2 linked regions of the Tribolium castaneum genome follow. The protein of the gene in region 1 purifies or fractionates together with the protein of each later gene. This does not show direct contact. Links are inferred from orthologs where the notes say so. Each region holds a gene or a part of one and is shown in the gene's direction. Other genes may lie near its edges.

Region 1 (3,753 bases):
AAAGCCGAACAGAAAATTGACAAATGATCGTCCAAAGTATAGTATTTTTTGCCTTTTGCCAAAATTTCTTATGCAAAAACATCGTGTATGAATTATAGAACTTAGTTTTTTAGATTTTACGTGATAAGGGAAGCATAAATTACTATTAACTGTGCTATTAAAAAGCTTTTTATGAAGTTAATTTAATCAATCAAGTGGTCTCAGGCCCACTTGATGGACATGGTATAAAGCCAACTTGATTGATCATCAAAAATGTATAAATACCTATGAGGTCCCAAACTGTAGTGCCCGACACTTGACCTCGTGGAAGACCCTCTCGGACTCGCTGCTTGGACCACTTCACTCTTAACCTTACCCCCTTCCCCGGCCTTCAAACTTTCATTATCCTGGGGCTTGACCACAAATTGACCCTTCAACGCCTGCTTGATATCCAACGAGTGCCCCGACCGTAGCGTCGAACTCTGCGATTCGTTGCCGGACGGCAGGCGATCGAGAGAATGTTCGAATTCGCGCGTCAAAGACTCAATGGTACTCGCAGGACTCGCCAGGTCGGAGGACTCAAAAGTCGCACTCGATGCAGATTTCTGCAATACCGACTTTAAAAAAAAGATGATAGCGGTCCAAGACATACTTTGATTTGGAGCGCCGCCTTGTTTTTCTTTTTGCGACGTGGGGGAGCCACCGGTGCCACATTTTGATCGTCGCTCTTTTGCGAAGAGGAGGCTTTTGTGCTTGCAATGACGTCGGGTTCTTGTAGCGGAAGACTGGACTTTTCGGAAGTCAGTGTTGCATTGCTGGGGTACTGGGAGATGCCCTTCGAGCTGGGGGTGGAGCCCGAGTCGAGGGAGCTGGAGGAGAGAGCGGATACGGAAACGGCCTTGCGGCCACATTCTAATATTAAATTATTTAGAATTTAAACAAAACCAATCACTGAATTATTACCCCCTTCGGCGATCCCCCCTAAAATTCGTGTGAGCCGTCCTAAAGAATTGATACTCTGGAGGCTCACAGTGTCCTGTTCTATGATACGGAAAGGGTGGGAGGTCTTATTGGAGGCGGCGAAAACCCCCTCAACTGATGATGTTTGGCTGTTGGGGGGCGTAACGTTGCCAGTTTGACAGTCCTCATCGTCGTGTTGCAGCTTCTGTCTCAACTCCTTGAACTTGCGCCGGCCACCAAGCGGTGTCCTCTTCTGGGGCTCAACCTACGCAACCATATGTTTTTGAGGTTATGTAACACCTTCACTTACAAAAACAATCTCATTGACCGACTGGAGCTGTCTCTCGTCGTGACCTGGGGGCACCGTTGAGACATTAGGTTCCGAACTAGCCCTCTGGGTGAGACTTTCCTTGGAGCTTTTCCGATTTTTTCTATAAAATTTTACACGATATAATTATCAAGTGGGCAAGCGAGCATCTGTCAAAGGGCATGTGTTTCAATTGTTTTTTGTTGTCGTGAAGTGTAAATAAAGTGGTGTTGTGGTGGTCCAAAGTGAAGAAATGAAAGTCTTCTTGGAGGTAAAAAGTGCTTGGGGCGTACCTTGGACCATGACTAGGTGTTAGGTCTTCGGCGTCGTAGAATTCCTCCGAGTCGCTGCTGCTGGACATTGTCTCATGAGCGACTCGTCATTTCGGGGCGTTGTCACGGGGGCACTCGCAAATTTCGGCGCCCTACAAAACCAATGACAACGTTTAGTTTAAAAGATAAGCGTGATTACGCACAGCGCCGCTGGGCCTGTCAGTTTGACGAACTAGTCATGGTCACGTTGCGGTGCCAGGGCAGTGGCGGCGCAAGGGGGGCTAACATGGGAACGTTTAACATGTAGCTCAAAGACCGTCTTCAAAGCTTTGTCAAATGTTGCAAAAAAAGGTTAAAAATAATGGCAGAAGACAATCCTAATCTCTAAATGTTTCATGGTCCAAAATCCAAAATCCAAGATGGTTGCCGGGTGATATTTTTTTTAAATTTTGAAGTATCCATAGGAAGTATCGAACTGTCAAAGTTTAAAATGTGTTTTTGTGGAAGCTAAAATGTCTTAAGGCCCTGTTTCTAGTTAAATTTGATCTGTTGCTTAATTATTTTAATTATAAATTGTCGAGTTCTTTTGCATTCCCAAACACACTATGCAAAATTTTGCTAAATCAATCCAAAAAAATTCGTAAATTGAGCCGAAAAATAACTAAATGTGGTCAAAAATAACATTATGCATATAATATTTGGCAATATTTCTAAAAAAAATACTGAATTACGTCAAAAATTGTGTAATTTTTGCTTTTCAGGCAATAAAGCTATGTTTCTGAGCTAAAAACTTTGTTTTTTGTTTATCAACCGCAAAATCACTAAATTATGTATCTTAAATTTTTACCTTTATCGAACGTTTAAGCGCATTTTTGAACTAATTACACGTTTTATGATAAAATTTTGCAACTATTTTTTGAATAATTACACTACTCAACCCAAGTCTTGTCCTTTGAACAATCTGAGTAAAATTTGATTTGGTCTACAGTTCACGAATTTGATAAAATTTTTGTCATCACATCATATTTTTTTTAATAAATTTTTTGTTTATAATTTTATCACTCATGAAATTAAGTTAAGTTAATAAGTTATTTCAATAACTTTTTTAAAACGTTTATCTTTTGTTAGTTTATTAAAAATGATAAAAGCAAAATTTTTAACAGGCTTTGTAAGCTTTAGTTCAATAACTTTTGAGCGGTGTTGCTGTTCTGGCAAAAACTAGTTTACTGCTAAAGTTGTTTATTTCAAAAACCATTCGTTCTGCCACTTTTGCGAACAATTTGTGTTCAATTGCTGAACTTTTGCTGAACTGGACGGTAAAATCGCCTAGCACTTTTTTCATAAATAATTATTTTGCGGTAATTTTTTCAAACAATTAATTACGTTTTTGCTTTTTAAAAATTTGGACCCGAAAGAAGTCTAGAAAGTAGTTAATTTTTTATTTTGTCGAAGATGTGTGAAAAATGTCTGTTTTTGGTGACTGAGAGGATTTAATGATACGAAGATTCTGTGATGAAAGGCGGCTGTGACGTCAAGCGATTATGTCGCTTATTCTTCGTCGCAGAAAATATTTGAAAAAACCTATTGGTAATACAAAAAACAAACGATATTTTCAATTTTTGTTAAAATATAAAACAGGTACAATAAATTGCCAATGCCTACATGGATCTTAAAAAATAGTACTGTGGATTTAAAATAATCGATCCCGGAAAGTTACTATCTCTAAAGATAAATTCCTATCACAAATGTGATGCTTCTAAGCAATGTAAGTGAAAACAAGAAACTTAAGTAGTTTTTTTCTAAAAACTAGCACTTTTCGGACGATCAGAATAACTTAGGACTACTTAATCTTTTATTGTAATAAGGATTTAAGAAGAACTTTTCTAATTTAAGGAGAAATAAAGCAGGTTTGTCTATCAGCTTGTTGAATTATCCTCATTTGCCCCCTTATTGGTGTCGCTGGCGCCGCCACTGCTCCCTTCGGTTTTCGACCAATCCCAGCTCTCCATTTCGTATCTGTCACTCACTGAATTTCTTTTTGCTAGAGTGGCAGCAGTGCAACTCCCTCTCGGCTCAAGGCTGTTTCCTCACCCAAGAACAAAACCAACATGGAGGACCTGGCAGTGGAAGTATGCGGCGAAAATGGGGCCCTTTATAAGGTCTGTACCACACAAAGTATGCTTTTGCCAATCCATCGTTGCGTTCCCGTCCATTGTCCATGTGTCGGTGCTTGAG
Region 2 (3,753 bases), on another chromosome or scaffold:
TTTTACAATTTAACAAATTAAGTTGGTCATTGTTATCATTAGATAAAATTTTGTTGATTAAATTAAATGGATAATTATTAATTTATGAAATATATTTGGTGATGTTGAAATTTTCGGGAAGTAATTTTGGGTCATGAGACTTAATTTTTGCTGAAGAGGGTGATTTAAATAAAAATTTAAAATACGTAAAGAAGATGTTGGTTTAATGTGCCAATTTGTTCTAATATTATTTTCAGGATTTCTAATAACTTTTATGTTTTAAAAATATAGTAGGACGGTCGGTGGAGAGAAACAAGAGACATCAATGGTGGCTAAAGCAAGAAAATCACTTATTCCAACAACTTTAATTGTTAAGATGCATTGTTTTTATACAGTTTTAAGCCACTGTTATAATTTTTATAATAAATTATTTAATTGTTCCTGCCATCTACCTTAATTCAAAACAAAATTGAAACTTGCGCTGTTTATTTTTCTGTATTTTTTTCTATTAACATATTTGTGACCGTCTAATGTTCTTGAGATTCTTTTAACAAAGTTCTTCCGTGATTCTTATTGACGCTCGTCCATGAACCAGTTCATTTACCTTACAAGAAGTACAAATTGCATACAAAAACATGTATCGGAAAAACAAAACTCGAATGCATAAGTTACAAAAAAGCAAAATAAGCGAATAATATTGTTGCGTTTTAATGAAACGTTATAAAATGAAATAAATAAAAGAACAAAGAATAAAAAAATGCAGGCACCGTAGCCACTTCCGCGGCATTTCCATTCAAATTAATCAAGTACAAAAAAAATGACTTCACCAGTTACAGCTCAAGTTTAGGTTTAACTGTCTTACAGCTGTGGCCAAGAATTAGAGTTTTTAGTGATAAACAAAATATCAAAACGGAAATTTTGTATTTATTTTGTCAAATTTGAAAATCAAAGACAAAAGCGTCAGTCTCGGTCGGTAATTTGGCGCGCTTTGGCAAACGTCCATCCGCCATTTTCGTGATCACGTGACCAGTTACTAGTGCGTTGTGGTTTTACTGAATTATACAGGTATGGTTAACGTTGTCGTTTTCGATTGATTTAAGACCGTTAGTGAGTGCTTGTTGAGGTATGGTGTGCAATTTGGGCCCCAGCCCCCGATTTCCAGCCCTCGATCGAGTCAAATTTCTCCGAAATCGCGTAATTTCCTCGTTCTGTTTGGTTGTCATGAACTGCTTTACAAGCTCTGAAATGGCGTCCCTCCACATGGTATAAAAGCGGTCGTCGGCCACCGGGGGCTTCCATCCCGCCGTGCGCGCCCCAATTTGCCCCCAGAGCTGCTATTTTTCTCATCCGCCTCACGCGCGGCTAGCCCCCTGATGCCTCTTTGTTATTGCCGGAAAATCCAGTTATTTCGCAACGGCGGCGATATTTACTCTTCCGAAAAATATGTTACTCATTGAGTTTATTTTTTACAGATAGTTTGTAAATAGTACACTGTACATACTGTACAAATCATGAGTTCGAGCAATCGAACCACCTCTAAAGGTGGGAAAGGGTCAAAGACTGACAATAAAACACACAAATCAGATAAATCCGACACAGGTGAGTTCGGGGGGCTTTTTGGCAATGCGGGGACTAAGATGCGTGTCTCAGGGAAAGGCTCAGACAAGCAGCAAGCAAGCAGAGATAACACACATGCAAAATCAGAAGATCCTTTCATTAAGGACAAAGTGAAGAAGCTGATGGAGATGTCTCAGAGGTCTGAAGAGGAGGTTTGTCTTGCTCTACATGATTGCGACTATGATGAAAACGCGGCCATGAACATGCTTTTGGAAAATATGGGGCAAGTGAGTATTGTTTTAGTTTACTGCTCTTAAACTGATTCTTTTCGTAAATCGTGTAGTAAATAAATTAAAAAAAAGTTTTGTAGTCGCCCTACTCAAGCAGTTTATAGCGTTTCACAGAATTCACGTCTTTTCTGCCATTGTTTTGCTGGTGTCGCTAGTTGCTGTCAAAAACTCAAAACAAAACATTATTAAATCATTAAACAATAGGATATCTGATAAGCATAAGTAAACAACGTATTCTTCGATTTTATTGTATTGTTTTATTTAATAGTGAACTACGTAAAACTACTATCCTATCGTGTAAACTGGTAATAAGTAACGGATACTTATGGGAATTCTAGAAATTCTATTTTTTGTTAAATGTATATTTAAAACGTAAAATGTTATCTTAAACTTACTGAAATTAGAGAAAAAGGGAAAGACAGAGTGATAAAATATAAGTAGAATGTGAAATGAGAGTGGTTTATGTTTGAGGTTGCATTTTTTGGTTTTAATTTAGTAATAAAACTTCTCACACAGTTGTAACCTTAACTCGTATTATAATAATTATATGTTACATTTTTGAAAAAATAACCATTAAAATTTGGTTATTGTTAATAACTAAAAATTGTTTATTTACTATTCCGGAAATTACATCAATTTGTCATGGTCAAGGCTAAACGACGTGGCATCAACATTTAATGACAATAATTTTTTTCTTCTACTTTTTAATGGGATGTATTTGTAATACCATGGAGGAACAAAACGTTAGTTTTATTTTTTGTGACAGTAGCGAATAAAAAAATCTTAACTGGTTTCTTCCCATGGTCGTCTGGTTCCGTTTTTTAATAAGTATGTATTTTCCTTTCGTTTTTAATTTGGTGTTCGCGTAATAAGAAGTCTGGTTTTGTGTTATCAGGGTGAGTGGGAGACTAGAGTTAAGAAGAAAAAGAACCGCCAAGCGTCCGCCAGCAAGCAGGAAAAGATAGAGGAGTCTGCGGGCGGCGACGATTGGAACGACGTCCCATCTGCCGGCGGGGGCGGCGGTGCCGGCAACGGCAACGAGAAGGACAAACCGCGGAACAAGAGCGGTCCGCCTCGTCTCCACGGCCGACATAATGACAGCCGCGGGTGGCGTGGCCGAGAGAAACAAGAAAACGAGCGTAACCTCGAAGAGGGCGGCGGTGGCGGTCGTGATTTCCACCGCGATCGTCGCGGCAGACCTGGGGGATCGACGCGTGGTCCTGGAGGCGGTCGAGGAAGGGGCGGCGGACGCGCTGGAGGCAGATATCCGCCGAGGGGAAGTCGGAGCAACGCCTATAACAAACCCATCGACACCTGGGATAACTCCAACACGTGGGATAACAGCACGGTGGCCGCAACGAACCACACGGGTAAGATAAGGCGATAGCCGAGGAATCTTCTTCAATAGAAATTTTGATTTATTTTTCTTCGGCGTCTCATCAGGATAATCAATTAATGTATTTTTTTTAAATGAAATATTTTGCTTCTTCGGGAGGAAATAACCTACTTATATGGAATATTTGGATAGTGAAAAACATGATTTTTTTGAAAAAATTATTTTATGTATAACTTTGAATGAAAGTCTATTCTCTGCTTTAGATCATTCGTTTCTTATAATTTATAATTCTTATAAAAAGGTAAGGAAGATTAGGTGTGTTTCTTGCTTGAAATTACGTTACTGTACAATTAGTTTTTTTTAATAAATGCATACTTATCAATCTCATCATACATTCAAAAAGAATTTTTGGTGAAATATTTTAAATTTTCTTTGCAAAACAATTTTTAATCAATTTTCGTTCCTAGAGATATCAAAGTTTTCAGGAATTTGATTACGAAATGCATAATTCAATTTTTATGAGGAAAACGATGGGGAATTTACGTTTAATGTATTTACACTAGTGAATGAAACAGATAATTGGTATCTATA

The links.
Region 2: the proteins of Fmr1 (region 1) and lig purify together in Drosophila melanogaster (affinity purification with western blotting; 3 studies listed by BioGRID, with this or other methods). This does not show direct contact. The link is inferred for Tribolium castaneum from reciprocal best matches to the Drosophila melanogaster genes Fmr1 and lig.

Annotation. Positions count from the first base shown.
Region 1 is NC_087400.1:7,272,842-7,276,594, forward strand, and holds the start of Fmr1 (RNA-binding protein FXR1), read left to right. Parts: upstream 1-1,370; 5' UTR 1,371-1,499; coding exon 1,500-1,517; intron 1,518-1,539; coding exon of another isoform or gene 1,540-1,607; exon of another isoform or gene 1,608-1,670; intron 1,671-1,721; exon of another isoform or gene 1,722-1,851; intron 1,852-3,563; coding exon 3,564-3,677; intron 3,678-3,753. Other genes in the region: WD repeat-containing protein 44, read right to left, coding at 265-584, 632-891, 943-1,204, 1,250-1,370, 1,540-1,607. UniProt on the Drosophila melanogaster protein: Polyribosome-associated RNA-binding protein that plays a role in neuronal development and synaptic plasticity through the regulation of protein synthesis of mRNAs.
Region 2 is NC_087396.1:16,161,383-16,165,135, forward strand, and holds the start of lig (protein lingerer), read left to right. Parts: upstream 1-916; 5' UTR 917-1,044; exon of another isoform or gene 1,045-1,102; intron 1,103-1,451; 5' UTR 1,452-1,490; coding exon 1,491-1,578; intron 1,579-1,629; coding exon 1,630-1,823; intron 1,824-2,721; coding exon 2,722-3,196; intron 3,197-3,753. UniProt on the Drosophila melanogaster protein: Acts in the nervous system to mediate the control of copulatory organs during courtship.